Linked DNA regions of Drosophila melanogaster. The protein of the gene in region 1 interacts with the protein of each later gene in a pairwise test. Each region holds a gene or a part of one and is shown on either strand. Other genes may lie near its edges. The genes, in order: CG8478, CG1603, Awh and CG1024.

Region 1 (7,697 bases):
CTGCTGGCAGAGCTTTTGCGTAAATTTCCCCCACCAATACCGCCCATGCTGCAGAATCTCCAGCAGCCGCCACCAGCGGGCGATGATCTGAACACAGCGAGAAATGCCTCCGAAATGAACAATGCCACAGGACCGCTAGATATCAAAACCGAGGGTGTGGACATGAAGCCACCGCCCGAAAAGAAGAGCAAGTGATTATGTGAATGCAGGTGCACCCTCAAAAAACGTACATACATATTAGTCCGAGTCCTTTGGCAGCTGCATAAAAGGCGCTGAATGCTGCCTGCATTTCCACTGGCCAAACCAACGCTCAGCGAAAAGCAGCGAAATCTACTTTTGCTAGTACTGCCAACTATTTTTTTTTAAAGTGGCTCTAACTAGTGACCATTTAAATATTCAAATTTTAAAACGCAATTTTTGTTCCGTGAGAAAACAATTAAGAACAACAATCAATAACCTTAACAAAAAAAAAAAGAAAACACAAAATTCAAAACTAAAATAGTTTTTAGTAACCTAGAATATAATGTAATTACTGTCATTTAGACTACGATAGTTATTTTTGTGTGAATGTCATACGAAAACCTAAAAAATTCACAAAGCAGTCCAGTCGTGCAGCTGAAGTGTACAATTAATAAGCATTCGAGTAACCGAAACATTGAGTTAGAAGCGCTCGAAATGCCAGGCATTGCTAACTCACAGCTGCCCGGCGATCTGTTCACAACGCGCCGTTACCGGACCACAGCTACGCCACAGCACTTAACTTAGACATAGACTAGGCTACACACGAATCGCTTAATTTAATCGTGGGCACTCTGTGCATCCTCTCTGCCGGTCATCTTCTTAAGCTGGTTGTTTCCATGCACCGTCAGGCTGTGGTTTGTGAACTCGAGTATGCTCCTAAACGACTGCTTGCAGATGTGGCAGGGCACAGTCTTTGTGGGAGTGCGGTAGACGCCGGCATGCGCCACATTCTTGGGAATTTTTTTCACGCTCGGTGGAGCCATGGACTGGGTTCCTTGTGAGGGAGCTGTGAATTGGGTTTGTAATAATTTCTCTCTAAGAACGCGTGCTGTTCAATCAATAGTTACCTAATTTGGGAATAGTACTAATGCGTTGCTGTGGCTTCTGGGGCATCGTCATGGGATGGTTAATGCCACTGGTGCCACCGATCTTTGGCAGCTGGGCTTTCTTCTCGTGGTTCAGCTCGGTGAACTCCAGCTTGCGCTTCTCGGACGGCGGTATCTTGTCGCAGTTCTGCATTAAATGGATGTGCAAGGCACGTTCCAGTGCGAAATTCTTATCGCAAAACTTGCAGCGATTCTTCGAGACTCCCGCTGCAACCGGATTGCTGTTCAGACGCTTAAGGGTATTGGCTCCGTTGTCAACCGGATCGTGCATTCGCATATGCACGTCAAGAAGTGACTTCACCCGAAAGGTTGTGCTGCAATTCTTGCAGCTAAAAACTTTCTCCGGAATGCTTTTTGTCGATGTCTTAGCCGGCTTTGAGGCGATCTTCTCAGGCGAACGCACGCTGGTCACAGCGAGCGACTTTCTTATGCTGCTCTTTGTTAGCTTGGAGACGGGCAAGCAGCTGCGACGGCTTAGTGACACACCGCCACCGACACTCCGCTTGCGAGCTGGGCTGTTGAGCGTTGTCTTGACCACCACCGACATGCGCTGCTTGAAGGAGTACGTTCGCGTCTCTGCGGTGGTGGTGGGCAGATAGGAGCGCCGAGGGCGCGGTAGGGCGGCACCCGAATAAGTGGAGCTCATGGACTGCCTCTTCTTGCCCGCCTCCACTTTTAATTTGGAGGTCGCTGGCTTCACAGAATCAGCGGAGATCTTTAGAGCTTTGGCAATTAGCTCAGAGACTTCGTTCACTACCTCGTTGACATGGGCGACCTCCTTTTCGGCTCCGGCTGGCGAGACCAGCATGGATACTCCTTCGTTGGATACTGTAAATGTAGATGTTTATAGAACGAAACCATATCTCAATAGTATAAACCTACCTTCAGTTATATTCTCTAAAACTACGTTCGCACTCAAGGGATAGACTTGGCTGGGAGCTGGGGTCTTGGCAGCCTCCTGCAAGGATACATTGTCCATGGTAGCATCCCCTGTTTTTAGGGTATTGGCCTTAACCGTATTGGCGGTCACGTCCACTGAACTGGACAAGGTCGAGTTATCGCCGCCACACCCCTCCGGTTGTGTGTTTTCCTTGTCGTCAATTTGGGTCAGATCTATGCTCTCCATGATCTGTGGTGTCTGCGTTTCGGTCGAAATATTGCCCTTGGAGGGAGTGGAGCACAAGGCGTTGTGCCGGTTAAGAATACTTTTGTCAAATGGGCGCAGAGGAGAATTCTGGTCCGGTTCCCCAATGGTCAACTGATGCAGATCCTTTAGGATAGTGCGCCTTAGGTCCTTATCATCGGTGTTTACCTCCACCTTGCTGTTGTGCACCTCCAGGAACTGGCTGTTCTGGGTGACCAGGGCCGACTGCCACTTGGCATTGGACAGGGTGTCCTCCGCGTCAAAGGATAAATACATGGAGACGCTCTCATCGTTTGTCATTATCGATGAGCTACGGGAATCGATCTGCTGGAAGTGAAACTATTGTTTTAGCAATGAAAATGGGATAATGTTCGGAAGTCTTTTCCCGGCAAATGGAAGCAACACCAACTGAAACCACCAAACACTTGCCTTGCCGGCCATAGTTCTGCGCGAATCGTCCATGGTTAAGTATATGCTATTCCCAATTGGCCACGAGGAATTCCCAAATTAATAAATACAAGCAATTAAGCAAAAATTCGAGCAGCTGAAGACCGACGCTGTACCGAAAAAACAAAGCGTTAATATTTCAAACACACTTTTCAACACTGCGCGCGCAATGAAGATAGCAACGGCGCCGATGGGAATGCGCGGCTTTAAATTATGAAAAGTATTGAAAAAACTATAAATTCTTCACTACTTTCAAATTGATGTTAACGCGTAGGAGACTTTGTAGAAATAAATCTAATTTTTTCGGCACACGACGAATTGAAAGGTTACAGTGACTAGATGGGAAATATTTTTGAAAACATAAAATAATTGTGTTTTATCAGACTCGAACAGGGTTCATGTCTTAGATAAAAGTGTAATATCAGACTGGATTATTAGTTTATGCATGGTAAATCGACTTTTAAACTCAGATTTAATAGTAAAATGTAAGAAAGCCCTCTTTCGTAAATAGTTTGCAGCTTGTTTTGCTTAATTTCTTTAATTGTACTTGTTGCGAACTAAGCCTAAATGCAATATTAAACTTTTAAACTCAGATTTAATAGTAAAACGTAAGCAAGCCCTGTTTCGTAAATAGTTTGCAGCTTGTTTTGCATAATTTCTTTAATTGTACTTGTTGCGAACTAAGCCTAAATGCAATATTAAACAGTGTGAACACACGTAAAAATCGCCTATCGAAAACGACATCGATACTAACATCGATTTTTTTGCAGCTCTAGTATACAAATTGGCGAATTGTTGTGTGGTGTGAAAATTCATACTTTCGCAAATAAATTATTAAACCTTGGCAATAAGTTCCTACGTACGGAGCACAAACGAGCTCATCCCCGCCCCAATTACATATCCACCGAGTTCACACACCGAACCAGCACCAAGGGTAGTTTTTCATCTCGCGCGAGTGAGTCACTGGCCAGATTTCCCCACCCAAAAAAAAAACAAGACAGCCGTCTTGCCTCTCAACCACTTGCCAAGCTCAAGTTCAAGTGATCTCACCAGATAGATAGTTCCGAAATGGCCGCCGTGGAGAATGCCGAGCCGCGCACTGAGCTCCAGGAGCTGCAGTTCAAGTCCGGACAGGTGGCCGATGAATCCCTGGAGAGCACGCGTCGGATGCTCGCCCTCATGGACGAAAGCAAGGAGGCTGGAATCCGCACGCTGGTGGCCCTGGATGACCAGGGCGAGCAGTTGGACCGCATTGAGGAGGGCATGGACCGGATCAACGCGGACATGAGGGAGGCGGAGAAGAACTTGAGTGGCATGGAAAAGTGCTGTGGCATCTGTGTGCTGCCGTGGAAGAAGGTGAACATCAAGGACGACGGTGAGAGCGCCTGGAAGGCCAATGACGATGGCAAAATCGTGGCCAGCCAGCCGCAAAGGGTCATTGATGAGCGGGAACGCGGCGGCATGGGTGCACCACCGCAGTCCGGCTATGTGGCCAGGATCACGAACGATGCGCGTGAGGATGAGATGGACGAGAATCTCGGGCAGGTGAACTCGATGCTGGGCAACCTGCGCAACATGGCCCTGGACATGGGCTCCGAGCTGGAGAACCAAAACAAACAGGTTGATCGCATCAATGCCAAGGGCGATGCCAACAACATTCGCATGGACGGCGTGAACAAGCGCGCCAACAATCTGCTCAAGAGTTAAATATGCACAACGGCCACGTCCCGAAACCATAGCGAACATGTTAGTCAGACACCACCTCCATTTCAATGTTGTTAGGGAAAGAAACCAATGTTGTGGGCACAAACCGTAGCTGGTGGTATTGCGTTATTGATACCATATATTATACACATATACAAGTAGTGGCAACTACTCCTGGCAAACGCAAGCGTAACAAACCCATCTACTTACAAGAACTTTAAGCCGCCGAGCCGGATGAACTAACTACTACTTTCTAAAACTATATATATATATATATATATATATATATATATATATATATATATATATATATATATATATATATACATATATGCGAACCAACATACTAACTACTTACTATTACTACACTCGTGTACAAATGGCAACCAGATGGCGCCGGAAACAATTTTATTATGAGATTTACCGTATATGATGTACTCTGTTTTTGGTACAAACTTTTTGAGCATTTTACCGATCTTTGTGAAATCAAACCAAGCAACTGCTGAGATGGATAAATGTGAATTAATGTATTTACAATTCGTAGAACCACCGCATCCCGCACGGGCACCGAAAAACCAAACAAAGACGGGCGGAAATTATGTATAACGTAGCCAATTTTATGTTCTCCATTGTTAACCCTTTTTAAGTAGGCCATGTATTTGGGCATTTCGCAAGCCCAGCACAGCAGTCCAAGCACCAATTCTATTGAATTACACTAGATTTGCACTCGAACCTCTTGCTTCGTACATATGAATAATTTATCCCCAGTGAATGTAACCCCGATCGAGTTACGTAGCTCTAGCTTAAGTACTTGAAATTGTTGGTTGCAATTATCGCAAATATTTAAGAAACTACCTGTTTGTGCGCAAGATATTTCTCGTTAATTATTAAATGTACTATGGAACGAGTATAGCCAATTGATTAGATAACTTATTTATCGCTACTATTGCCACTTTAGCTTACATTCTTAGCTCTTAATTGCAAGTAAATATAAACAAAATAATTCACCACCAAAACGTGTTAATGGATTTATTGCACTGTACAAAATATTTCGATTAACTGAGAATTTTAGGGCACTCGAAAGTAGTTGCTGGTTGCTATGTAGCCGCTGAAGTCCTCGTCGCAATCGTCGGACTGGGCGAATTCGATTTCCGGCGCCGCCTCGACGGGAATGTACACAATGCTGCCGCGGGTTACCAAGATCTCCTTATCTCCCTGCTGGGTTTTCAATTTAAGAATGCGGGATCCCTTTAGAACTATCAATATGGAGCCGAATGCTTGTATCTCCAGCTTGTACGACTCCAGCGAGTGTTCGATATTCACATTTATCACTGCAAAGTCGGATACTGGCGGAATATAGACCTGGACCTGGTCATCTATGCGGTACGGAATGAACTCCTTGCGATCCTTATACGAACTTTCGAAGATCACAGATTCCAGCAGCTGGTCCACATCCTTGTACTTGGGCGTTAGGCCCGCCCGTATCACATTGTCCGAGCAAGCCATGCACTCCACACAGTCGCCGTCCAGGTAGGCATGAATCTCGTTCGCGCCCAAGTAGATCGCCTGGCCGGGCTGCAGGCGGATTAGGTTGAGGAAGAACAGGGACAGTACGCCCACATCGCCGGGGAAGTCTTTGTTGACCTTGGTGAACACCTCAAGCAGATCGTTGGATTTCAGTTCTATTTTAGAGGAATGTTTACAAATCTTTCATAGATTGCACAGAATGGCTCACCGTTTTGGTAATCCTTGGCTATTTCACTGATGCACTTGGCTATCACCGGCTCTTCGGTCTTCATCAGCTTCTCGTAGCACAACTTAACGCTTTCCGAGTTGGTCGAGTCATGGAGCTGATCCACAGCCTCCTTGCCAATGAGTTTACTCAGCGGCTGGAACTCATCGATGTAGTCCCTGATATCTTCGGCTGACATAAATCCCACGAGGGCCAGAAAGGGCGTGAGGGCAATGGCCAGTTCCGGCTTGTGATTGGGATCCTTGTAGATATCCGGGCGCTCCTTGTGCAGGCGCTCCGCTTCGCACTTGTTCGGATGCACCTGGATGCTGAGTGCCTTGTTGATGCTTAGCACCTTGAACAGGTATGAAAGGTCCTTCTTTAGCACTCGGTCCAGAGTCTCTCCGGTTTCCTTGACCACGGACACACCGCACACATGCGTGCCCATCCACATTTCCGCATAGGTCTCCTCCTCGTTCAGACGAAAGTCCGGATCATTGGCCATTGCCAGCTGGGCCACCGCCGAGTTGATGCCCTTGCGGCCCCAGCCGTAGTTCTTCACCCATCCAGTCAGCTCCATTTCACCGCACCGATTGCCTTCCAAAATTCGCCGTACTGCGTTTGAGGTCAACCTGAAGGTGATAAGAAAACATATGATTGCTGGTGAATGGATACGTGTGAGAGGGGTTGGTCTGTGGTGAAAGCGCCATTAAGTGGATTAGCGTTGATACACCTGCGACATAAGGCTTATCACACCTTTTTATATAGATAACAGCTTTCTGGAAGTTTGTAATTTCGATTTTATTGCCGAAATAATTTGGTGTGTTTCCACCACTGTTACTTTAAATACATATATCGCGTTTAAGCTAGAGATGGGGATATTGCGATATCCCTAATGACTAGTTCTACATATATGACGATACTTTAATACTCTATAATTTAATTTATATTTATTTTTGGTCAGCAAAAAATATATCCGACGTGCCGTAATGTGTCATACTCTATTTGGCAATTTATGTTTAGTTAGAGCGTTTGAGCTTAATTAGGCGCGATTAGATGCGATTTAGGGGGGATTTTGAGGCGACTTTAGCGCGATTCGGACGCGATTCGGGTGCGATTTGGCCGCGACTTAATTTTCTATCAAGATATAGGAAATTCCTGAAATTTTGATTCGCTTTTATTATTGCTTTTATTTTAAATTTTTACAACTGTGCCATTAACAAACGCTTAGCTTAATTTAATAAAACAGTTTAAAGTGTGATAGGTTTTGTCATTTGGATTTCAAACCCTCGCTGTCATCTATTTTGTCTATGACCTGTTTTAAGCAATCTTTGGTCGAAGTCCTTTCCAAATCGCAGATGCGTGTCAGATCCATCGTAGCGATCTGCTCGATCATTTCCTTGATCTTCTCCTGCTTTATGATGGACTTTACGGATTGCCGTAATCCAGCCTTTCCTTGCGTTTTTTGGGTCTCTGCGGAGTCGTTTTCGATTTGTTTGCCCTTGGCGCGGTAGTGCTGCTCGATAATTTGTCGAATCTTCAT
Region 2 (7,880 bases), on another chromosome or scaffold:
CCGGTGCAAGAACGAGTCCTGCATCTGCTCCGTATGACCCACGTTTAGCGCAATGTCGATAAAGTTCGAAAGGGTGCCGGTGGTGATGCTCTTCAAGCGTGGCATAGTCACCGTCGGTATGTCCACATGGAGCTTAAGCTTCTCGCAGGCCCTAGAATAAGCCACCGGCATAGACGTGGCATCGGGAAAATCATCGCGCAACGCGTCGACCAGTAACAGCACAAAGGAGTCATAGGCAGGTGGCGGCGGCGTCAGTCTGTAAAGGGTAACGAGCATTATAGGGGCGCTATCTCACGCAATTATCAGCTCATAAACTCACTCCATGCCAAGCAGAGCGGTGGGCCGGCCCTCTGGCACGGTGCTTTCCTTCTCCGCCACCGAGTAGGAGGCCGGAAAGAAGCCAATCAGAAAGAGCACGGCGCCGCAAAGGAACGCCGTGAGCATGCCGATGGTATAGACCAGCCAACTTTTGTGCTGTTCCATCTTCTTGTTTTCATCGAAAGTACCGCGCTCCACCGAAAACCACAACAAATTCAATATAATTGCCGCCCGTCAGCTGGAAGTCAAATATAAAGGCTAGACAATCGATAAGTGCTGTATGCTATCGATAGACGGCAAGCAAAACTTCAGGGGCGTAGGCACATAAAACTAATAAATGCTAAAGTCTTACGTATAATTTATATTTATTTTAAAACTATTGATACGAAAGAGTTAAGAGAGGAAATTTGTTAGCTTTATGGAAAAAAAGTATTAATATTTACATAATATTACTAACGTTTTGCCATTTCTCGAAGTGTATATTATTTTATACTTAATTTATCTTAATTTACATTTAAAATCTTACATATAAAAGAAATTTTTTAAATTTGATACTTATAAAACAAACGAATTTAATATCGTCTGTCGAACCCTTTTGCCCATTTGTGAATGCGCCCATGGTCTCTCATAGTCGGATATGTATAAACAAACGCTTTTGATTGTTATTTCTAACTTAAAATGGAAACTTGCGGCCTTATTTGTGTGAGCAGGGACTACGAGAAGTTCCTGATGCGCTGCTCCTACTGTCCAACGGACGTGGAGGTGGCCCAGTGGCAGGAGTTTGTGCTGCACATCCGCAACGTGCATAGCAAAGTAAGGAGCATGGAAGACGACTTCGAGCCAGTGGGGGAAAATTCTACGGAGTCTGGGCACGTAGATCCTCCAGAGGAGAAACCCCAAGCGGAAGAGTCGATATTCCAGCAAGACGAATCGGCGGACGGAGCCTGTGTACAGCTGCATATTGACGCAGTGCGTTCGTCGACAAACGAGACTGAGGAGTCGGACGTATCTTTGGTTACAGATGAAGAAGAATCCGTCCAGGACGAGGATCCAAGTGAACCAGCTCTTGATGATGCCAATTTAAAAACCACACCCACATACAAGGTACTTCTAGAAGCCATTCATGAACGCGCTAAACTAATCTCAGCATTCAACTTCAGTTTCATCCATCCTTCTTTCGCCGAGATCACCGAACCATAAAGTTCATAGAGATCTACAAGGAACACCCGTGCCTTTGGAATCCCGCTCACAGCGACTACAAGGAACCCAAGAAATGCAAAGAAGCCCTGAAGCGTATGGCCATTGACTTGGAGGCAACTGTATCCGTATTCCTGAACGAGATGGCCTTAAAGCTGGCCATCAAGAAAGTCCACATGCAGTTCAACACCGTGCACAAGCGGGTGGTGTCTGGAAAACAGAAACCTCAATCGCTGGCTTTCAGTATATACAAATTGTGTTGCTTCTTGAACGCTAGCAACGATGAAGAAGGGGCTACGAATAACGAAAAAATTAAGGCAAGATATTTGAATTAATTCAAATTGAAATTGTTAACAAGCATACTTTGCCCGCAGCTTGATTTCTCCAAGAAAAACAAGCTGACTACCGACCTGATAGAGATGTACGCAAACTTTCCGCAGCTATACGACTCCAACCACAAGGAGTTCTCCAATATGAGCTCTCGAAAACAGGCATACGAGAGCATGGCTGCGGAAATCTCAGTGCCCAATGTGGACATCAACAGCGATGACATATTCCGCGCCATCCAGAATCTCCGCCAATGGTACTACAAGAACACTAAGCATGCCATTTATGCCGGAAGTACAGCCGAGAAGTTCTACCTAGAGGTGTGTCGGTTCATGCCTGCAAAGATGTACAAGCAGCGGCTGGTCTGCGAATTTTGCCACCAGATTACGTCCTCGGATCATGTCCTGCAGTCGCACATCTTCAAGGCGCACAACATCGGCGAGCTGCCCTTCAAATGCACCTTGTGCGACCGAAGTTTTGTGGGACGTTGCGAGCTGGCTAATCACATACAGCGGGTCCATATCGGCAAGACCCACAAGTGCACCCATTGTGAGCGTTCATTCGCTGTGATGTCGGACCTGCAGCTGCACATCCGTACGCACACTGGCCACAAGCCTTACGTCTGCGAGCATTGCGGCAAGGCCTTCCGACTGCGGTCCCAAATGACGCTCCACGTCACGGCTATTCACACGAAGATCAGAGCCTTCAAGTGCACCATGTGTCCCAAAGACTTTGTGAAAAAGGTCGACTTATCGGATCACATCAAGGGCCATTTAAACATCCGCGACAAAATCTGCAGTGTGTGCGGTAAGGGATTCACCAGCTGCCATGCACTCATCCGACACCGGCAGATTCACTCCGAGGTGAAGAAGTTTGTGTGCAAACTCTGCGACTCCAGGTTCTCCCAGTTTGTGGGTCTTAATACGCACATGAAGCGCACCCACAACATTCTTCGTAATAATTCACAAAAGGGTAAAGATGCTGTGGATGCAGAGAACTGAATTTGATTAAATTTGCAATAAAATGACAGTTTATAAATAGGCAATCTTTTGCAAATGGGGGGAAATAAAAATACACAAATGAGAGTGAAACAATATGTTTAAACAAATTTATTTATATAACGGTTTAAGAATGTATATTAATAATTAAGAATATAAATTCTACATTATCTGGCCATGTCCATCTGTCGAAATCTGGGGATGTACATCTAAAAGCCTAAACACATTCCCCTGCCTACGCTGCGCTATTTTTTCCAAAATGTTGGCACGCCCACAAGGCGCCGACAACTGTAACGCCCATACATTTGAAAAACGTTTTGGTGTTTTCCTGTTCATATTTGTCTCGCTATTTTCTATCGATATGACAAAAAAAATATAATTTCTCAACAAATAAGCTTGATTGATTTTGATTTTTCCAAATGGTTAGTACTAGAATTTTATAACATTTTTTTTCGAAAATTGAAATGTACTAGTTACTTTAAAGATTCATTCATGAAATGCAGATTTTTAATCATTTTTAAGCACCACCAACAGTTGTTAAAACGTTTTCTTTTAAGCCTTCATAAAATTGTGTTTAAATATTATTTTAAAAATAGATTTTTATCGAATAGTCTATCGATACATAATTATTTCAGTCGTTGTCCAACACAGTCCCAAACGCATAAAAAAATTGTTACCTTAAATAAACGAATATATTTTCAGAAAAGGAACATTTTTCAAGCTGAAGTCAGATCAGAGCGCACAACGTAAGCATGGAGCTGTGCGGCAATGTGATGACCAACTCCAAGTACGAGATGTTCCGGCTGAAATGCCTCTACTGCAGCATAGAGAGCGAGCTGAAGGATTGGGAGCTGTTCATCGTCCATGTGAAATCGGCGCACTACTGCGAAGACGAGGACGTTAGGATTAATGAAATCAAAGAGGATACCGAGGAGCTATACAGCGTCGTTGACGCGGCGGACCCAGCCATCGCCTATGGGCCGGATGAGTTCTTCGAGGTGATCGAAAACAGCAATGGGGTCGATCAATGGATGGAAGCTGATAGCAAGGTAAGACTCTTTCACTCGCTTACCAAGGGTGGTCAAATAAGTGAGCTCTCGTTGACCGCAGGATATCCAGTACGAGGAAGACGCCACCGCTTGGTCTGCAGCTACAAACAATTCCTGGGAGTTCGGTCCAGGCGGCAGCTCTTTGGAACTTCCAGCCGGAAAGGAAGTCACACAAATGGACGAGTCTTCCCAAAATCACATACCCCTAAACACAGACGATGATGATGTTGATTGTAGTGACTTCTTTATGTCTGAGGATGACTTGGCACCTCCTAGAAAACCTGGACGTCCGCCCAGGCGAACAAGACCAGGACAGGTTTTCAAGGTTAGTACGTAGTATATTTCACTTAAGCTGAAATTCATTCCACTTAACGGCGTCATTCAGTTCAAAGTTTCGTTTATTCGGAGCAATCCCCGTGTGCTGCATTTGATCCAAGCGTACAAAGAGCATCCCTGCCTGTGGAACCCTTCCGATGAACACTACCAGGACGAGCCTGCACGAAGCATGGCCTACGAGGCGATAATGGAACGCATGGACCGCAAGGCCAATGTTCTCTTCACCGTGGAAGAACTGAAGAAAACGCTCGAGCAACTGCACGTGCAGTACACGCTGGCTTTGGAGACAAAACAAAGGGGAAAGCTTGTTGGACTTGCAGCGCGTTACTTTGCCAAGTGCGAGTTCCTCAGTGTGGCGCCTGTTGTAACGCCAAGGGAGAACGAGGAGGACAACGACTTGACTGCAATTAAGGTAATAACTAGCCCACTATAATGTAGCTCTTTTCTGACCAAAAATCCTTTTTTCAGCTTAATTTTAAGGAGGAAAACCTGATAACCACCTCATTCATAGAGACCTATGCCAACTATCCCGTGCTGTATAATCAAGCGTTGCCAGACTTTGGCTCAATAGAGATACGTGCAGATGCCTTCAAAAGAATGGCAAAGGAATTCCAGCCAGTGGTGAAGGCCAACGAAACGGACGTTTACATTGCGGTCAACAAGCTGCGCCGTTGGCTTTACGATGCCATTCGTCGCCTCAAATCCAAGGAACTAATTCAGAAGTGCAGCAAGCAAGAGGTTCAGTATCTGCAAATGTGCAGCTTCTTGCCCGCCAAGGGTTCCGAAAGTCAGGTGCTGTACTGTGACTACTGCGATAAACGTTTCCACGGCGACTACAACCTACGGGTGCACATCGTCAAGGCGCACGAGGTGGGCGACCTACCGTACCTCTGCTCGTTCTGCCCGAGGCGCTTCGACCGCCACGTAGACATGGACCGTCACAAGCTGCGTTCCCACTTCGAACGCAAGTTGAAGTGCCAGTACTGCGAAAAATCGTTCGCCGTGGATACCGACCTAAAGGTGCACACACTAATCCACACGGGCGAGCGGCCTCACGTCTGTGACATCTGCGGCAAGACATTCCGGCTCAAGCTACTCCTGGACCACCACGTCAACGGAGTTCACCTGAACATTAGACCCTACAGCTGCAATATGTGCACCAAAACCTTCCGCAAGAAGTTCGAGCTGGCCAACCATATCAAAGGACATCTGAATATCCGTGATAAGAAGTGCGAGTACTGTGATGCTACGTTCTATGACCATTCTTCGCTTTCCAGACATCGCCGCAGCCACAGATCGGAATGAACTCTCGCCTTGAGGGACATTTTTAGAAACTGCTTTATTTTTTGATAACGAGAATCAGTAAGCTTCATTTGATGTAAATCAAGAATAAACTTACGTTAGAGTAGTGATAATAACAAGCGTGTTGTTAAGCACTTACGGCTTTTGTGTATTTGATAAGAACATGTGTATGATAATCATATGCACAAGCTTTTCCTTTTTCATACTTTCCTTTTCAAAATTTGGTTTAAGGAATGTATTATTCATAAAAAAAAGAAGAAGCCGGAAAAATAAGTTCGTTTTAAGATAAATTTGTATAACCGTTACTTGTAGAGGAGATATTAGAATAACATATGATTTTTTGGTTCTGGCTCTAGATCTAGAGCTGGCTTGAGGCTCTCCCGAGTTTTTGTTCAAAAGTCAGAGAGCGGAGAGCTCTAGAGCTAGCAGCTCTATTATTATTATTTTTGATCAAATGACGTGTACAAAATTTTATATATATTCATTTTTAACAATGTATTTATATTTCTTTTATGAAATATATTTTTTTAAATGTATTTTCCTTTTTGCCAAATTTATATTTTTAATTACAATAGTTATAATAACGATTTAAGACTTTATTTAGTTTATTAGCTTAAATAATGATGAAAATAATTTTTATACGGTACAAGATACTGCTCATAGACCCTTGTTGAAGTATGTCGTCAGTGCAATTTTAAATATTTTTAATTATAAGCAAAAATAAATAAGCGGTATTTAATTAATAACAACTCTTCTTAAAAGAATAGTCAAGGCATTAAATTTTAAATAACTCTGTAGTAGATCGTATTGCAACAAGCTTTGACCAAAACTTTAAATATGTATGTATGTACCTTCGTTTCTGAGATCAAAATTGATTTCGAGACGAAAGTTTTCTAGCACAAGTATGCTCATATACACTTTCTCGTTTGTTGTTTTAACACACACAAGGAAGTACATTCTATTTTAAGAAATTTACGCTCTCCATTTTACGCGTGCGGAGTGAGATCAATTTTGGCCGTCACCAAAAAAGTAACTGCATAGTTGAAAACCAATGTAATGGCCGTTACGCACCTTAATATTCTAGTGTCTTTAAAAAAAGTGTATACTACAATATATTCGATGAAAGGTGTGTAACATGCAGAAGGAAACGTTTCCGACAATATTAAGTATATATATTCTCGATAAGGACCAATAGCCGAGTCGGTCTGTCCCTGTCCGTCTGTCCGTATGAACTACTTGTATTTCCACTGGCTAAGTAAGGAGTATTTGATTGTCGGGGAATTCGACTCTTGTTCCGAATGGGAATAAGTACCAGAATCAGTCAACTAAAAGTAGTGTTTTTATTCCAGCTTAAAATGAAATAGTTTAAAATATATTTAAAAATTTATAATTGATTTAAAAGTTGATTTAACACAACTAATACTCATGTTATAGCAAGATTTAAATTTAAGCTGTATAGTATATATAATTATTTGTCTACATATAAAATATTTTCTAAAATTGAGATGATTTCGTTTCAATGGAATTTCCGCGGGTATCTTCCCAACACTGACCATCCGGTGCTTATCGATACCGATAAATGGCGTTGTTGTTGTGCTATTTGGCATTGTATCTTATTTGTTTGTAAGCAAATCATGGTGGTTTGCGGGAACATTTTGGCCAGGAACAACTTCGAGCACTTTGTTCTGGCGTGTGCTCACCAAAATGACTGCTACGTGGAGATGGAGTTCAAGCGGTGGCGAGAGTTCATCGTGCACGTCAAGGAGCACCTGGAAGCAAATCCAAGCATGCAGCAAGAGCTCACTACTTCCGAAGTCATTTCGTCAGCCAAATGCGAGGAGGAGGTCTCGCCAGCCAAGGTGTTCATAGTGGAGGAGCCTCCGGAAAATTGCCTGGCTGAAGACATGTTCGTTGACGTGCCACCTTCATCAGAGAACGACGAGAGCACCAGCCCGGTGGAGGAGGAGGAGGAAGAAGACGACGAGGTGGACTCCTCCTCGATGACAGTTGACTGCGAATTGGGCACCAGAAACTCCACACACTTTGCTCCTTTAACCAAAGTAAGCAACTGACTACACCAGCAACAAAAACCAACAAATTAAAGCAGACGTTTTGCATCCCGGCAGTTCAATCCTACGTTTTACCGACGCAGTCCTCGGATCACACAGTTCATTGAACTGTATAAGCAGCAGACATGCCTCTGGGATCCAGCGGATGAGTCGTACAGGGACAAGGAGAAACGCGCAAATGCCTATGAGGAGTTGCTGGAGCAATTAAAGGCGACCGTCAATCTTCACCTAACGGCCTATAAGCTGAAGAAGTGCATCACCAGCCTACACGCGCAGTATGCGTC
Region 3 (8,079 bases), on another chromosome or scaffold:
GATAACTCTAATGATAATGATGATGGTAATGATAATTATTATTAACAAAAAAAAAAAAAAAGAAACAAAATCCACAAACCAAAAAAATGTATTTATTTATTTTAATTTATATATACACTAGAGAGTTATTACAAATATATATATATATACATAATGTATAAGGAGAAAGAACAAACAAAATGCGTTTGCAATGGGGGAGCGAATCAAACGATTGCATAACTAACCTATCCTTCTTTACAGATTTTTCTAATACAAAGTGTAACTATTCCCTTAACAAATTATTAAGTTCTCTCAAAGTTATTCATAATATAGGTTAAAGGTTATCTTTCCCTCAGGAACATTAAACATAAATTTTCCCTGGCCAAACAGCTCGGCTTGGCCAATGATTTATGGGCTATGAGAACGCATTGGACAGTCGCTTACCACCACAAAATGATGTCCTTTGGCACATGTTACCACAAAAACGGGCCATAAAACGAAACTTGAGCAAACAGGCGCTGGTCAGGAGTTGTGCAAACAGCCGAGAGGTAACTGGCTATATGTAGGTGCATTTACCATCTATTAAACGTTGTACGCTCCATGGTTCTAGCCCCAGGCAATTAAGACATATTTTAGGGGTTGACCAGTGGATCTTAACATCTTCATAACACGCGCGATTGCGACACAAAGCCTAAAAAAGGTAGCCACAGAAAATCGAACATGCCACCAACAGTTTTCCGAAAGACCTGTCCCAAAAACCCAACCAACCGACCAACAAAAATAACTGAAAACGGAGCCAACAAATTACCCTGAAATTTTCAGTGATCATAGAAAACGAGCACTGGGAGAAATTCTTTCTTTACAAGCTATCTATCTTCACCTATTTAATTATTTTCTAACTCTTTAAGGGCACATATATTTTCTCGGTGCATTTTCAACTATGAAGAGAGAGTTTCTTTTGGTCATCCCTTCCATCTTATCGCCGCGATCGGTATCTGCTTGGAGATGCCCAGCACATAAATCTGCCACCAAAATGGGCAGATCCAGAGGGAGAGGCCGAAGAAACCAAACCCAGAACCCAAACCCAAAAACCAGCGACTGCGACAGGTTGCAGCTCAATAAAGATCCAAATAAATATAATATCGCTGGTCTATGAGTCGAACAATGGGAGATATGAGAAGGATGTGTTCATTTAGGGTTCGCGGGTTCCAGTTCCATTTACCTGCCCGGGTTTCAACCTGTTCGAGGGCCAATTCGAAGGCGGTCGAAATCAAATGGCCAAGGCTTTTGTAAACGGGTGACATTTAAGAATTATGGCATGTAAATGGAAGGCATTCCCGGAACGGCGATGCGATGACAGCATCTCTTTCAGAAACCCCAGCCATCGGATTATTTTTTGATCGGGGGGCTACTGTTAATCAATTTAGAGCCTCGAGGGTCGAGCTATTTTTATTTCTTTCCAAAGTCAGATGCGGTCCAGGATAAGCAAAAGGCTGCGCTTCGATGTGCTGATTAATGGGCGATAGTCAAAGGTATTAGGGAAAGTATACAGATATGATTTTAATTAAGACATTTCGCTTTTAGTTTTGATCCAAATGAAGATCTTAATATGCACTATATGGCAATTGTATGAAAAAGTAGCAAAATTGCATGTTAACTGGATCATTTTATCGGTTTAATGTGTAATCTTATTGTAGTATTTCTTCTAGGCGCTCTATTTCCTTTAATTCCCAGTTTTCAGAGCGCTTTTTTTGCAGCATCCCACGGGGCGTATGCGTGTTAAAGCTACCAGCTGCTGTCGGACTTTTGGCTGCCTTTTGATAAATGCACCGCTATTAAAGTGCCGCCTTTGTAATGCGGAAACATCAAAGTGCACTTACACACACGCACTGCAAGGCAAACATTTGCATTCACACACACACAGGCACACACTGACAGAAAGCCATAAAAATCACTTTGTAGCCATGGAGGCGGTGCATCAGCGCAAACTATGCAACAACAACAGCGAGAAAAAGTGCAATGCAATCAATTCAAAGGGGCGAAAGGAGAGCGGAAAATTCAGCGTGAGGGGGAAATGGGGGTGTGAAATTACACTTGAAAAAATATGACCAACTTGCTGACGAAATGGAAATTAAACAACAAATGACAATACCCTAAAGCAGTTTGCAGGTTTTATGACAGATATTTCTATAAATGGTTAACTTTAAGCTTGAAGCTTTTATTTAAGTATAGAACAGTTTAAAGATATATTAATTTTTTTCCAGTGCAGTGACAGGAGAACGAGAGCCAGCAGGCAGCAGCATTTAATCCTGCAAAAAAGGCATTGCGAGGCACCATAAAATGATGTTAATCCTTAAATAACGTGAGCAAAGCAAAAAGCGGAGAAAAAGTGGTAAAAAAAACGGGGGCAGGCAGAAGGATTGGCGAAGGAGGAGGCGGTGGGGGCCACTCGACTGGATGATGGCGACAGCCAAATGCCAATTGAATGCCAAGCGGCTTTAAGAGACAGCCCACGATCAAAGAGACAGTGAATGAAAAATGGTGCAAAGTAATGGTTAAAGTGCTCGAAATGGAAATCCTCAAGGGGATCGGTGTTGCACATAAAGCTTAAACTCAGGCTTAAATCAAAGTATAAAGGGGACAAAGGAAACTGGAGTAACTTGAAGAGTTATTTAGCACCAAGGAATCATTAATAATAGTACTTTCTTTAAAAGTATTAATATAAAAGCAATATATTGTTATTGTTGTTATATTATTATTGTTAAAGCCATGCAATTTAATTTTATGTTAAATAAAATAAAATGTTTTTAACTTTAAACCTTTTTTTCTTTGAGTCAGTCTGCTGCGCTATCATGTTTGGCATGCCATCACAAACAGCCAACAGAAATAAAAAATATATAACCGAAAAGACAGCAGCATCCACTGGCATCAACTCACTTCCCCTCCATCAAGCGGTTTGACCCCAAAAAGTCAAGTGCGGCGGAGCTCGAGTTCCGTTTTCCCTCTCCCTTACTTCCTCCCTCGATATTCGGGTTTTCCTGGACTTTTACTCACTCAGGCAGCAAAAAAGTCAGCAGGAAAAGCAGAAATGACAGTAACATCAGTTGAAGTCACGGTGAAAATTATAGTAACAACAATATACTTACTTGAAAAAGCAAAAGTGGCAGTAACAACAGCAATATTATTGAAAGGCACAACAATTCAAGGAGAATCTTAAGTGGAAATATCCTGAGTAAAAGCAAAAGAGTTAGAAGCAACATCTGTTCCAGTAAACGCAGCAGCATGACAACTGTTACAACTGCAACAGGAGCAACATTGGTAGCTTTTCTAGGCAAAAGTAACCACAACAGTGAAATCTTTTCTAGGAAAAGCTGCTACAACAGATACTGCTTTATAAAGAACAAAAGATACAGTAACAGCAGCCACACGAGTCTCAAAAACAGCAGCAACAACATCGAAAGCACCAGCAATATGACAGAAATTCCTTCGAGTAACAGCCATATCAGTAGAAATGGCAACATCGTCACCAGAGCAACACCCACCCAATTCGCGGCACGATTTCACTCCGAGTTTCGACTCGATTCAAGTGGCCAAGTTGGCACGCGCCGGCGCACTCAATTGGTGCACAGGCGGCGCGGACTGGGAAAGCACTCAAAATGGGGGACACCACTGCGGAACTCGTTATGCGGGGCGCAAAGGGGCGTGGCCAGGCGGGCCAATCACCACCATTCCCGTTGCGCCGACGACAGATGTGCGCTCAAAAACCAGTTGAGCGAGTTCTCGAGTCGAGTTTCGAATGGGACTGACTGGTGGTTGTGGTTGTGCGTACGGCTGGTTCATCATCATACCTGTGGTGGTGGCGGGCATGCCATGAGCATATGGAAACCGGGCGTGAGCCGAGCCAGTTGAGCACCACCACCAGATCCCTGAGCTCGAACCCCGAGCGCCGGCAGTTAACGCAGTGGCCTCGAAGCTGTAACAACATCTCGCGTCCGCTCGATCCGCTCGATCCGCTCCGCTCCGTCACGAGAAAAGCGAGAAGCGCTCAGAGTATCTGCAGTGAAACGTGTTATCGTGATAAGGTTCTACGAGTATTCCATGCCATAAGGTGTCGCACATTATATTATTGAAATCGAAACGCAACATTCGCCGTCGGCTAAGAAAGTGAACTGTTATCGAATGTGCTAATCAAAAACAAAAAAAATGTTGCAAGCGCCTGCAAATTGATTTCTATCTCGGATATGCGAATTTACACTGGTTATTAATAGATCTGGTTTAAGAATACGATTATATAAGCATCCTATGCAGACGGCGGCTTCCGTGGGACGCTTGACAAACTGATCAAGTCGTCGTCTTTATCATCTATATCTCCTCATACTGGCTGCGATCGGGCTCGATATCGATTCCCAGGCTAAAGCTGGCGACAGATTTTCGAGCAAGATACTTGGATTAACAACCGCCAAAATTGTGGAGGCAATTAAAATGAAGGTGAGTCTCGATTGCTTTATAAAAAGATAGATTGAGTTGTAAAAAATCAACTTTATTGCTATTGGAAAGAGGAAAGTTATCAGTCTGTGTATTATAAATTTCTACATTTTTGAATAAAGTTAGTCTTTAATATTCTCTATTAAATTAGACTGTAAGTGTTGCATGTTCCACCCGTATTGCTCGGCGTTTGAGCGGTCTGTTTGCACACCCCCTCAAAATGAAGTTTCTGCTTTCCTTTTTAATTGCTGGACATAAAGTCCAGTAGACCCCGAGTGACCCACAAATCAGTTTTTTATGTAAAGTTTCCTAGCCCGCTGCGAGCATATTGGGCCAGAAAACGCAACAGGCGGCGTTTGCTCGACCATTGGGAGTAAAAAAAGAAGTGAGCCGGAGTTAAGACAAAAACCGGAGCAAAACAGTTTCAATTCAATTCGAAAAAGCCAGCACACTAATAGCGGCTGGAAAACGATGAGTTTTCAAAAATATGGAGACGACACAGGGCGGTGAATATGAAAAGCACACAAATCGCACAGTGGGGTTCCTCCCATCGAAAACACTCAGCGAATAAGCCACAGATCGCAGCCCACACTTTTGGGTATTACTCGAATATTGGCTGTGAAATGAAGGCTGATATTCGGATGTATCTGCAACCAAACCCCAAAAATCATATTCAACTTGGCCTTTTTTTTTTTTTGTTTTGTATCTTTTCAAGACATTGCATTGATCGTGTCGCCTAGATGATGTTGCTCAATCCCTTGTTCATTCAACAACACATATTTTTTGGTTTTTGAATTTCGAATTTGATTTTGACTTTGATTTTATTTCATACCCAGTCCGAAAACGTTTAATCGATTTTTACACCCGCTGTGCGACGGGCTTTTTTTGTTGTGTGTGTGAACCACCCACAGGATTTTCGAAAAATATTTGCCATGAGTCTGCAGAGAATCGATCATGATTTATGCTCGCCGATGATCGATTTACCATGGCTTTGTTCGACGAGCATAATTTTCATTACCATAGCAAATTGGACAAGGTGCTGACGCTTATTGCTCTGCGATATAATTTTAATCGCCCGATTTTATTTAGCTAGATTTCTATACGCACCACGGTCATAGGGGGAAAAATCAGATCAGCGGGGGATCCGCTTACAATTCGAAGTCCAGAACTCAAATGTCAACAGTTCTGAGGTGCCGTCGATGGTCAAGGGGCATGGGGGATTCTCGGCGAGAGACCTTTTCTTGACATCATCGATCTTGACCCGGCCCAGATGTTGGTGGATCCCCCCCCTTCCACATGTCGCCGCCCCGCTTTATCATCCAAATCCAAATCCGAAAATGACGCCACTAGGCGCTGCCTTATGAATATTCAACAAAGTATGGAGATGGAGTCTTTTTTTCCCTGCTCTTAGGTAGTCAGTCGGAGAAAGAGATATAAAAAAGGCATAAATATTTAAGCGCTTAAATGTCGAATGCCTGCGAAGCAGCTATAAAAAACGTATATACATATTTCAATAATCGATTTTTCATTAATAATTCACAAGAAAATTGAAAGATTGGAAAAAACTAAACCTCCCATAAATAGATACACCAAAAATGTTTTGTGTAAGAAGTCGTTGACGCCTCCATCTGCGGTTCGAAAAAGTTTTCTTTAATTGGCAATTGGGTATTTGAAGGCGAACTAAAAATACAGAGTGATTACAGAGATTTTAGGATTTGACTTTCTATATCTCCATCTACTTATTAGCTTTGAGTGTTTGACAAAACACCTTTTGAGGATTACACGCCTAACTCCATTGTCCCATAATCCCGCACAAGAAACCAAAAAAAGGAGCGCGTGCCGATGGCCAAGATTTTCCTACTTACCAAAAGGATGTTTTGCAAAACCAGCTGCCTGGCCAGCGGTCAGCAGATTTTTCAGCAAGCCCCCTAATAATTGGATTCCCAAACAAAGGACATTCTGAAGAGTGTCCTGTGACCACTGGTCGAAAATGCCTAATTGTCAACGCTGACAAGAAGTCTACGCCTCGGTTCTTGTCTCCTTGGGAAAACAATGGGCAAACGGAAAATGCATCTTGACTTGAGCCAATTGCCCCGATCAGGGACAAAGAGAAACAAATATCACACCTTTGTTTTGGGCCTCGAATCCATATATGTAGTATGTACATACCTATTGACAATAGATGCCAGAGTTCCTGGTCAGTTTTCAGTCGGGTTGCGCATGCGAATTGCAGGAAGAGATCGCTGGGTAGATGTGTCAAAATCGCAGCAGCATTTTTAGCAGGTAAATGCGAGAAGTCCTCTTCGAATGAACATCGAATGCAGGAGGCACAAGAGGTCCTCACAAAACCGCACAATGGAAGGCGAGTCGAGTGTCTTGCCATTGTTCGTTCGAGTGCATCCACAAAATAGTCCTTAAAGGACGCTTAGTTGGCCTACAAATGATGCATGGCCCTTGGGCCTGTAAAATTGTAAAATGCCACAAATCATTGCCACTCCTGTCTGCCGGCAACTCAAAAAAAAAAAAAAAAAAAGAAATCAAGGAAGATAGAGACCCAAACCCGCCCCTGGAATTTACGAGCCAACCCCTAAATGCAAACCATTCGATTTCGATTTCTGGCAAAAAATTCCAATAAATAAAATAAATGTCCTTTTGCCAGTTTGTCGCCTGAAAATATTCGCATTTAATTGCTTGACAATTGTAAATTGGCCAAAAAGGAATCGTTTTCGTATTACAAACTGTAGTTCGCATACTATATAAGTTATCCCACATTTTCAAAAGAACTTGATTTTAAATAAAATGTATAACACTTTCTAATATACATATGTATCGCTACAAATATGCCACTTGATTCGTTCTTGCCACTTTGTCATCAAAAAAAATTTGTTTTTAATTGCCTGACAATTGCAAATTGAGCCGATAGAGAATTTCAATATCATTTTATCGATGGCATCTACGAACAGTAGCCAAAGTGATTAGTTTTAGGGAAGCGAAACTAGTTTAGAACCTCTTTGCCGTTTGAAACTCACCGCTAAAATCATTCAAAGTCACCCAAATAAATTATCGGCTAGAACTTTGGCGGTGGCCCACAAAAAACAACTCCGGTCTTGATTTATTGGCCCACAAAAAAAGGGGGGACAGAAATACAATGGCCGAAAGCTGGAAACTGAAATATGAAAATATTATATGTGTAATTTATGCAAAATGCAGATTTAGCTAATTAATTGTGGCCAATGCTCAATAAAAAATAAGAAATCAAACACGAAATCCCCCTAAAAACTCCGCACAAAGATGAGCTGTAGTAAAAAAAAAAAAGACAGACGACGACTCGAAATCAATAAAAGCCCAACTTATTGATGTTTAGTGGCTGTGACATGTTGACGAAAAGACAAAAGCATTTGGGATTTTCGGTTTCGGATTCACTCGATGCTCGAGTCTCCAACTTTATGATGAATGCCTTAAAAATGCCAAAAAAAAAGATACATATTCAAAATAAAAAGCACGAAACAAATACAAGAGAACGCGAAAAACGCGTGTCGAAATCGTTTGAGATATTTGCGGGCGATTTATTAAGAGAACTTCGGCACGGCGATTTTCTCTCTCCCAGACTTTGAG
Region 4 (8,277 bases), 3.4 Mb from region 1:
TGGGTTACAGGTGAAAAGCGGCCTCGATTGGAGGCAGCAGCCCACAAGTTATTGCACTTAAATTTCGTATATTCGCTTTTGTTGTTTTTTTTAGGCGCCTCTGTGTGCGTGCCTGCTACTGTGCTTGTGTGCGTTCAATTAGCACAACAACAAAGCAGCTGAGCGATTTCCTTTTGCTTTCCCGACGCCCATTCGCGTAAATCCACTGGTCACTCACTTGATTAGGGCTTCTCGTGCTCTTAGTTGACCGTTTGGAGCGACTTCTGGCCAGTTCCTGTATCCAATCCTATTTTTTCAGCACTCGCTCGCCTCCTCACTCGTCGCCATCGCACTGGTATTGCGTTGTACTTTGTTTTGCTCCCTTTTGGGGCTCGGACTCCTCGGGTTCCTTTAGTTGGTGGTCGTGGTTCAGCGGGGACAGCGCAGTGGCTGCGAAAAGAGCATGACAGTCGCGATAAGAACGCTTTGGGTTTGGTTCACTTTTCTAATTATCGGATATTAGAATTTACATCCCACCCGAACACAGACACATATACAGGGCTAGAGCTGGAACTAAATCGATGTATAGCTGCTGCTGGCTTCCTGACGGCGATGTTTTCGTACATCGATTACTCCCATATTTCGATAGCTATCGACTAAAATTTTAAAAATATTAAAATCCAGTATTCTCAGCAACTGTTTCAGATCATTGTACAGAATTTAGAATTCTCAACTTCAGAACCTGAAACCATATAGAAATATAATACTAAGATATAGCATTAATAACTAGTTTTTAAGATTCTAGAAGTACAAATACAATGAATTGGTTAAAATCAGTTTCTGTGCAAAATACTACTTGCCTTTTCGAATTAACCAAGAAAATTAACCGATTTTCAGTGGTGCGTTTATATTTTGTGTTGAACAATAATGCATTTGAGTTATGAAACATTAAAATCACATGACTGCGGGCTACTTGATCCAGAGATACATTTTCCCCTGGATGGTGTGCTTGACGGGATTGATCTTCTTCAGGATTTTCGTCATGGTCTCGACCAAACGGTCGCTGGAGACAGGCGTCTTCTTGTTCTTGAACTTGGTGAGCAACTCGGTGGCGGTCAGGGGCTTTCGCTTAAGATACCGACGCACCGCCTCCTCGGTGATGCCGTAGTCCCTAAACAAAATACATGAAATTAGAATTAGGAATTCCAGTATATCACGGCTTTACTCACTCTACTTTGCCGCCAGAGAAGGAAGTGGGCAGCGATGTGCTAATCTCGTTCTTAGGCCTCTTTGCTGGCGTGCTGGTGGGACTGTTGCTTGTGTCCGAAGCGGTGAGATCGCTGGGTAAGCTGTTCATCTTGCGCTTGCTGGCATCCGTCGAGAGCGTTGGAGTGGCCGAGCGAGATTTATTGGCATTGCTGCTGCTGGCGATGACCTTGCTGCTCGCAGCGCTCTCTTTCTCCTTTTCCTTTTCCTTGTCTTTGTCCTTGACGACGACCTTCTTCTTGGGCGGTCCGTTGCTAAGGTCGTCCTCGGAGTCTGTGCTGTCAGAGCTGAAGTCTGTGGACGAGTCACCGCTGCCATTCGACTTGCCCTTCTTGTCGTCCTTTGTGGGTTTCTTCTTCTTTTTGTCCTTGGATACCTCGTCCTTGCCCTTATCCTTCTTTTTTTTCTCGCCGTCGGCATCCTCCTTGTCCGACTCATCAGACTTCTTCTCATCATCCTCCTCTTCATCGGAGGTAAGCAGCTTGCGGAGCGCATCTTCCTCGGCCACGCCTTTCATGTCCTTGTCCACCTTTGCCTCTGGATCTGGTTCGCTAGAATAGGGTATAAGAAATTAGTAGATGTGGTCCAAATTGTATTGCCATTATCAGAATCGTTTGGGGCACATACTCTTCACTGGAGCTGGTGTCGTAGTCCATTTCTCTGCCCTCCTCGTCACCATCGTCCGACTCCTCGAAGGCCTCGTCATCAACATCCCTCTTTTTCTTTTTCTTGTCTGCGCCCTTCTTGCCCTTTCCCTTGGCCTTGCCATCGTCGCTGTCTTCCTGCTCCTTCTTCTTTTTATCCTCCTCGTCCTCCGAATCCGACTCATCCTCGGAATCAATCCATTCATCCATGTCAGTGATCTTGAGCTCCTTGGATTTTTTGGTGGCTGCCTTAATTAGCTTAGCCTCCTCCGGATCCTGCTCCTCTTCCTCATCGCCGCGCAGACGCTTTCGCAACATAAGGGAGAAGTAGTTCATCACCTTTTTGCGCCGACCAAATTCCTGTTCGGCCTCCTCCGCCGACAGCGATTTGTAGCGCTGAATAGGCTGGAAGTTGTACCACTCGGTCAAGGGGTATGCCTCAATGGCGCCGTCTGGTGCATGGGTGAACACATAGAAAGCTGCATTCTCGCCTACGCCGCCCTCGCGGATGCCTTTGAACTTCTTTCCAGTCTTGCCACCCACTTTAAGGATCCATGGCTGTGCCTCTGGACGGTACTTTCTCGCTATAATGCCAAACTTCTTGCGGCGCGCCTCCTCGCGCTGATCCCGGTTGTACTCCGATCCAGCACCAAACTTGGGCTGATCCTCCTCCATGCCCCGGAACTCCTTCATGTTGTTTTCCCGCTCCAGTTTCACATTTCTCCACTGCGCGAAATCCACATTGAGCGTGGCGTTGAACCGCATCACATGGTGCTTCTTGGGCATCTTGGGCACGCGGATCTTGAACTCCTGCACGTTGGCGGATGACGAGGCGGATCCTGAGGCGACAGAGGCTGCGGCGGCGGCAGCTGCGGACGTGGAGCTCCCGCTGGCAGCGCTCGGCTGCATGAAATCAAGCGAAGACCGCAAATAAGTGTTGGCGCCGGAAGCGGCAGGGTAAAGACTTACCGTCGACTTTGACGCGCTCGACATGGCTTAATGTTTGCTAATCATATGTTGCTTCTATCTGGATATTTTATACTTTTCCCCAAACTCTTACAATTCGCGGCGCGGGCAGAAAAGTTGGATTTTCTAGCGATGTCCGATAACAGAAGTGCAGTTATTCTTTGGAAGCAAGTGTATCGTATCGTTTGGGCAGAAAAATAATATTTATTCCAAGAGATTTTGATAAACAAATTGGAAAAGTAGATATTATAAGATTGCATATTCAAGCCCTACAAGGTATTTAAAAACTTCAAAGTTTTGTAATGTTCTATCAAAATAAAGTGACAGCCGATATCCGTTCACAGTCACGGTTATCGATTACCTCTTTTTAGATAAACGATTGTCGCCATAGCAAATAACGATAAATTCACAAAGCGCTGTCTAGTTTGTTTGGATTTCATTTGCAGTTTGTCGCTTAAATGTTAGGGAAAATGTCGCGGAACGTGACGCTCTCGGATGAACAAAGTCGGCTTAATGCGCGTCTGGAGGCGCACATGGTTTACATATGTCCGGAATGCGGCAAGGCGTTCCGCACTCAGGCGGAGTGGCGACAGCATCTGAACACGGCAAGTTGCGGGTTTTGTGCAAATCAAGTTCTGCTTTAATAATGGTTTGAAATGTGCCCACAGAAACACGACTATCTAAAGAAGACGTACTCAGATTTCAACTTCATCCAGATCGACGAGCGATTCCATGAGTGCCAGCTGTGCTTCAAATGGGTGGAGAATGCCCACAAGACAATCGCCCTCCTGCAGTACCACTACTTTATGCATCTGGAGCACAGTGAAACCTACCGCTGCGTGCACTGCCGCATGGCGTACACGAGGCGCCGGGCTCTGAACGTCCACCTACTGGACACGCACATGCGGGAGATCGAGAAGTACGAGAACAAGCTGCGCCAGATGAAGCGGCAGCAGGCGAAACCCACTACAGCGGCCGCACCAGCTGGAAATGCAGAGAAGCCGATGGCTGTGAAGCCGCGTGGGCGTCCCAAAGGTTCCACGAACAGAAAGCAAAATGATCTGCTGCAAAAGGCGCTGATGGACATTGATCTGAACACAGAAATGGAAAAGTCCCCAGTGACAGCACTAGCGGCTCCTGTAAACGAACCTAAGCCCATTTCAAATGTCAGCGAGCTGAATCTAGATCGGTGTTTGAATGCCTACGAGGACATCGTGCGCAAGGAGGAGAAAGAGGTGGTGCCGAAGTATGACGACGAGTTGGATGCGCTCTGCAAGGAGTTTTTTGATGATGGCCCCTCCGCCGGCAAAGGAGAAGCTAATGAGGAGCAGCAGCAAGACGATGCGCACCTGCAGCAAGGAAATCAGGAGGTGGTCATCATCGAGATCGATGCACTCGGCAAGGAGGAAGTGGCCCAGCTGAAGAAGGAAATGAAGTCGGACCCAATAAGTCAACCGACTAAGCGTCGACGCATCTCTACGACGCCCAGCCGCGACTCAGACACGGAAATGTCCACCAACGGCCTCACGAAGCTCATATCGTACTTGTGTCCGAAGTGCGGCAAGGAAATCGCCTCGATGGACGGTTGGCGGGCACACGTATTCAAGAAGCACGACTTCGAGCACATAATCGAGAACAGTTTTAAGATCCTGGAGTCCGGGCGCAAGGCCATGTGCCTGCAGTGCCGTGAGGTGCAACCAACGACCGTGCGCTCACAACTGCAGAAGCACTGCTTCAAGCATCTGCCCTACCGGTCGTACCTCAAGTGCACACTCTGCGATCGCACCAAGACCAGCACCTCAAAGATCCTCAATCACATTCGCTACAACCACCAGGAGGAGCTGCAGCGTAAAAACAAGACGCAGCTGCTTATTAAGCCGGAGCCCATGTGGGCCAGTCCCAACAAGTCCGGTCAAGCGGCCATGGCGGATGACGCCGGATCCGAGGACGATCAGGGCGAGCAAGCTGTGTGCGAGCACTGTGACAGAGTCTTTAGGAGCAAATGGCGCTACGAACGACACATTGCCTCTTGCAGGAGATCTGGAGCTGGCAAGTCAGTCGAAGGGACCGTTGAAGCCTTGTTGAACCATCTGCGAGAAGGGCACATGCGAATGAACGCCATCTGGAAGACGATGCAACGTGAAAAGCCTTAGGTATAGTCTAGTTAAAGTTAAGTCGGTCCATCGTTTTGCAAATATCATCAAGTGTAAAATATACGTAAGTTTTCAAATCCTTGTGCAAATATTGTGCTAGGAAAAGATCATAATTAACACATACGACTTACATGCCTATGAAACATGTATCAATCTGCATTTAAGTTGTTATATGTTAACTATATAGCGTATACAACTAAATAATATATAGATATTTTAAATCCATTTCTCATAAATATGTTTTTCAAGAAGTACATTTATATTTTTTTTTTTTTTGCTGTGAATTATAGGACAGGATCGATAAAGGCATTTAAATTCATGGGCACGACCTTTGACAGTGTCTCAAGGAGCAGTAGCGATTCTGGTTGCCGCCACATCCGAGGTACTTCATCTTGAGGCACTTCCTGGTTCTCTGGTTATAGTACCACATTTCGTCCATGGCAGTTCTCCGGCAATGCCTTCCCCCAAATCCTTCGTTCTTGCCGCCTTCGCAACTCAGACGACCTGTGTGAAAGTGTAGATCAGCTATAAAAGTACACTTACTAAATGCTGTTATTAAACATACCCCTAGGACGACCATCGCAGCGATTCTGGCCACATGCGAGAGATACGTAGAGCACAACGCAAGCTAGAACCAAAAGTAACTTCATTTTCAACGGATTGCTCTTTGGAGGGTCGACTTGATATGACTGATCTGTAAAACGATGGACTTATATAGGGGCGGCTGCCAACATTTTTCCCAGTTCCCTAGAACGAGTAAAAAACATCTTGACAATCGACTCTATTGTTAAATGTTTTGAGGCTATCAGATAATAGTATAAAAAAGGGGCTTAAATTAAACTTTTTAAAGGCATAAGATGTGGGATGAACCATTCAAAAACGTTGCTGGAATGAAAATGTATTTTCCACTTTTAACTTAAAAAAAAAAGCTGCAAGATCGATCTTTCGCTCAATCCTATTGATTTCGTATCAGGGCAAAAACACTTGTGCTGAATGTAAATATGATTTAACCAGAATTATATTTACCCAATTAATTAACATTCTTTTCGTTAGTCACTTTGTATTACTAATACGAGGAATACTTTTCTGACTAATTCATTTTATAAATCAGATTAAGGATTAAATTTAACATGACGATTATTTATTATGTTTAATTTAAAACATTTCACTTTAAAGCAATTGTTATTCAGTTAGGTAAGCTTCAAGGCATAGCTATCCATTGCGGAGCCCAAAAGCCACTTGGCTTACGACTGCGCATGTGGCTACCTATCGAGCGTCTCATTATTGCTCTGCGTCTGGAGAAAGCCCTTTCCATGGTTCTAATAGTTGCGTCGCCTTCTGCGCCTTCCTGTTGCACGCGGTCATCATCCACCTCGTGATTGCTGGATATGACCACGATCTTCCGGCGACCATGGAACATCTCAGCCCGCTTTATCAGCGCCAGGAAGCGGGCGAACTTCTTCTCCAGCGCAGCCCTGTCCAGAGGCTTTGGCATGGGTTCCAGTAGCCCTTCGGCATGAGCTTCTTCCCCTCCTGGCGATTCGGAAGCGGGTGTCCCTCCAGCTGTTGGTGCAGGAGTGGAGCCTTCTCCCTCCACCGGGGTGACTCCTGGAGTGGCTCCTGGCGCTGCTCCGTCGACTGCTGGAGTGGCTGCAGCTTCTCCAGGTGCAGCTGCTCCTCCTTCGGCGGCAGGCGCTGCTGCTGCTCCATCGGCTGCTGGTGCTGGTGCCCCACCTTCAGCTGGCGGCGTTCCATCAGCGTTTTCGCCGTTGAGCATGACGAAGTCCCGTTTTCCAAGAGTTCTAGTTTTAATTTCGGGACTGGACGCGTTTCCTGCTTTCGGCGTAACCTTCTCGTAGACCTCGGACTCGGCGCAGAGATGTGCATATTTCGGGTTCGCTCCGGTCTTGCAGGACTCCGCCGCCTTTTTCCCGGGCTCGTAGACGGGCGAGCCCACAACCGGGGCGTGGCCATAGTTGCACGCGAAAAACGTCTGAATCCAGCCATGCCGGGACTGCTGAACGATGGCACAGCCCACGGATTCAGCGTTCTCCAGCACGATCTGTAAAAAGTTGTACTTCGGCGACCTGATAGATGGGAACACAAGTTGAAGTTGATTAATTCCGTTTTTTCATATAGTAATAAATCATGAAACCCACATTTATTTTATGTATTGAATGTTCTTAGATGTAGCCTGGAAATTTACAAGCGAATCTTTATATAAAATATTTAATTTTCGGACCAACAAATAATTAAAACTTTCTAAAGATAAGTTCATGGGGTTGAGTTCTTCTATTAAAGCTTATAAAAAACAATCGTTATGGATATGGATTATGGAATAAGCTAAGATAAATAAACTAAGGTAAGTCCCCTCTTAATTAATTGCAATCAATATCATCTGCAAGAGTCATCCGGCAGAATGCAATCCCTCGCCAGAGAAGAGAGCCCAATGGAATCCACATGCAATCGTTTTATTCTTGAGAAGATCGCGAAGCGTACGGCCGCATATAACATAAGAAGAATTTCATAACGGAGTGTTGTTAAAAGAAACTATATCATATCAAATATTAATATCAATAAAAAAAATGTGAGTGAAATCAACATCAAGACTAAATTACTATAATTTTCCAGCGGGTGGTCATGAAAATAAATGGATTCCTCTCCTTTAAAAGTTCATGTAAAATTGTCAAAAGGCATTTGTCGCACACTCGCGTCCATTATTTTGCAAGCCCTAATATTATTTTAGAAACAAAAAAAAATATTTATATTATCAACATTTATGTTGTCAAAATATAATCAATTGGTGTTTATAGTAATTTTGAAAAATTTAATTTTTAATTTAAGAAGAAAAGTGACAGAATTATAACATTCAGATACTTTGTCTCCTAATAACAACAGGTACAATTTTTCGGTCTTTTTATAAATTTAGATAAGATTTAGAAAGGATTACAAAATATTAAAAAATAAATAATAATCATTTCAGGTTGAAATATTTACCAAATCCCGTAAGGACGCCCGAGTAAACAACCCTATATATTCCTTAAGTGGTACTCACTGAGATTCCTGCTCGACATACTTCATGATGTTCACCATCGAAGTTCTGGATTTTTCCCGCAACCACACCCCTATGATATCCCTAAGGATATCCTCCAACTCTGGCAATTTTCCTTTAATGCCTCGATACCCAACCGTCTGGCCAGCGTTTTGCGTGAACTTCGTGTTCCGGCACTCGTCGTGCCTCAGGACACAATCCCTCACATTGAATTCAG

What was found.
Region 2: the proteins of CG8478 (region 1) and CG1603 interact in a two-hybrid assay, tested with the Drosophila melanogaster proteins (one large-scale study listed by BioGRID).
Region 3: the proteins of CG8478 (region 1) and Awh interact in a two-hybrid assay, tested with the Drosophila melanogaster proteins (one large-scale study listed by BioGRID).
Region 4: the proteins of CG8478 (region 1) and CG1024 interact in a two-hybrid assay, tested with the Drosophila melanogaster proteins (one large-scale study listed by BioGRID).

Annotation. Positions count from the first base shown.
Region 1 is NT_033777.3:9,758,939-9,766,635, reverse strand, and holds CG8478 (uncharacterized protein), read right to left. Parts: upstream 2,883-7,697; 5' UTR 2,734-2,882; coding exon 2,701-2,733; intron 2,611-2,700; coding exon 2,010-2,610; intron 1,956-2,009; coding exon 1,089-1,955; intron 1,028-1,088; coding exon 798-1,027; 3' UTR 501-797; downstream 1-500. Other genes in the region: MED6 (mediator complex subunit 6), read left to right, coding at 1-195; Snap24 (Synaptosomal-associated protein 24kDa), read left to right, coding at 3,787-4,425; Mpi (mannose phosphate isomerase), read right to left, coding at 5,491-6,104, 6,158-6,734; Alg12 alpha-1,6-mannosyltransferase, read right to left, coding at 7,425-7,697.
Region 2 is NT_033778.4:7,511,977-7,519,856, reverse strand, and holds CG1603 (uncharacterized protein), read left to right. Parts: upstream 1-3,466; 5' UTR 3,467-3,592; coding exon 3,593-3,889; intron 3,890-3,950; coding exon 3,951-4,214; intron 4,215-4,274; coding exon 4,275-4,637; intron 4,638-4,693; coding exon 4,694-5,530; 3' UTR 5,531-6,011; downstream 6,012-7,880. Other genes in the region: PIG-G (phosphatidylinositol glycan anchor biosynthesis class G), read right to left, coding at 1-256, 320-483; CG1602 (uncharacterized protein), read left to right, coding at 997-1,422, 1,479-1,832, 1,890-2,843; az2, read left to right, coding at 7,162-7,587, 7,654-7,880. UniProt on the Drosophila melanogaster protein: Chromatin-binding protein involved in the organization of active promoters and insulators. Essential for the activity of heterochromatin promoters; primarily binds to specific motifs within promoters of housekeeping genes.
Region 3 is NT_037436.4:3,842,281-3,850,359, forward strand, and holds the start of Awh (arrowhead), read left to right. Parts: upstream 1-3,925; 5' UTR 3,926-4,461; coding exon 4,462-4,467; intron 4,468-8,079. UniProt on the Drosophila melanogaster protein: Probable transcription factor. Required for the establishment of a subset of imaginal tissues: the abdominal histoblasts and the salivary gland imaginal rings.
Region 4 is NT_033777.3:6,375,201-6,383,477, reverse strand, and holds CG1024 (uncharacterized protein), read left to right. Parts: upstream 1-3,270; 5' UTR 3,271-3,313; coding exon 3,314-3,460; intron 3,461-3,523; coding exon 3,524-5,008; 3' UTR 5,009-5,072; exon of another isoform or gene 5,073-5,082; intron 5,083-5,244; exon of another isoform or gene 5,245-5,298; 3' UTR 5,299-5,324; coding exon of another isoform or gene 5,325-5,512; 3' UTR 5,513-5,573; coding exon of another isoform or gene 5,574-5,658; 3' UTR 5,659-6,129; downstream 6,130-8,277. Other genes in the region: TfIIFalpha (transcription factor IIFalpha), read right to left, coding at 949-1,150, 1,209-1,796, 1,873-2,792, 2,859-2,882; CG42537 (uncharacterized protein), read right to left, coding at 5,325-5,512, 5,574-5,658; CG42564 (uncharacterized protein), read right to left, coding at 6,210-7,095, 8,064-8,277.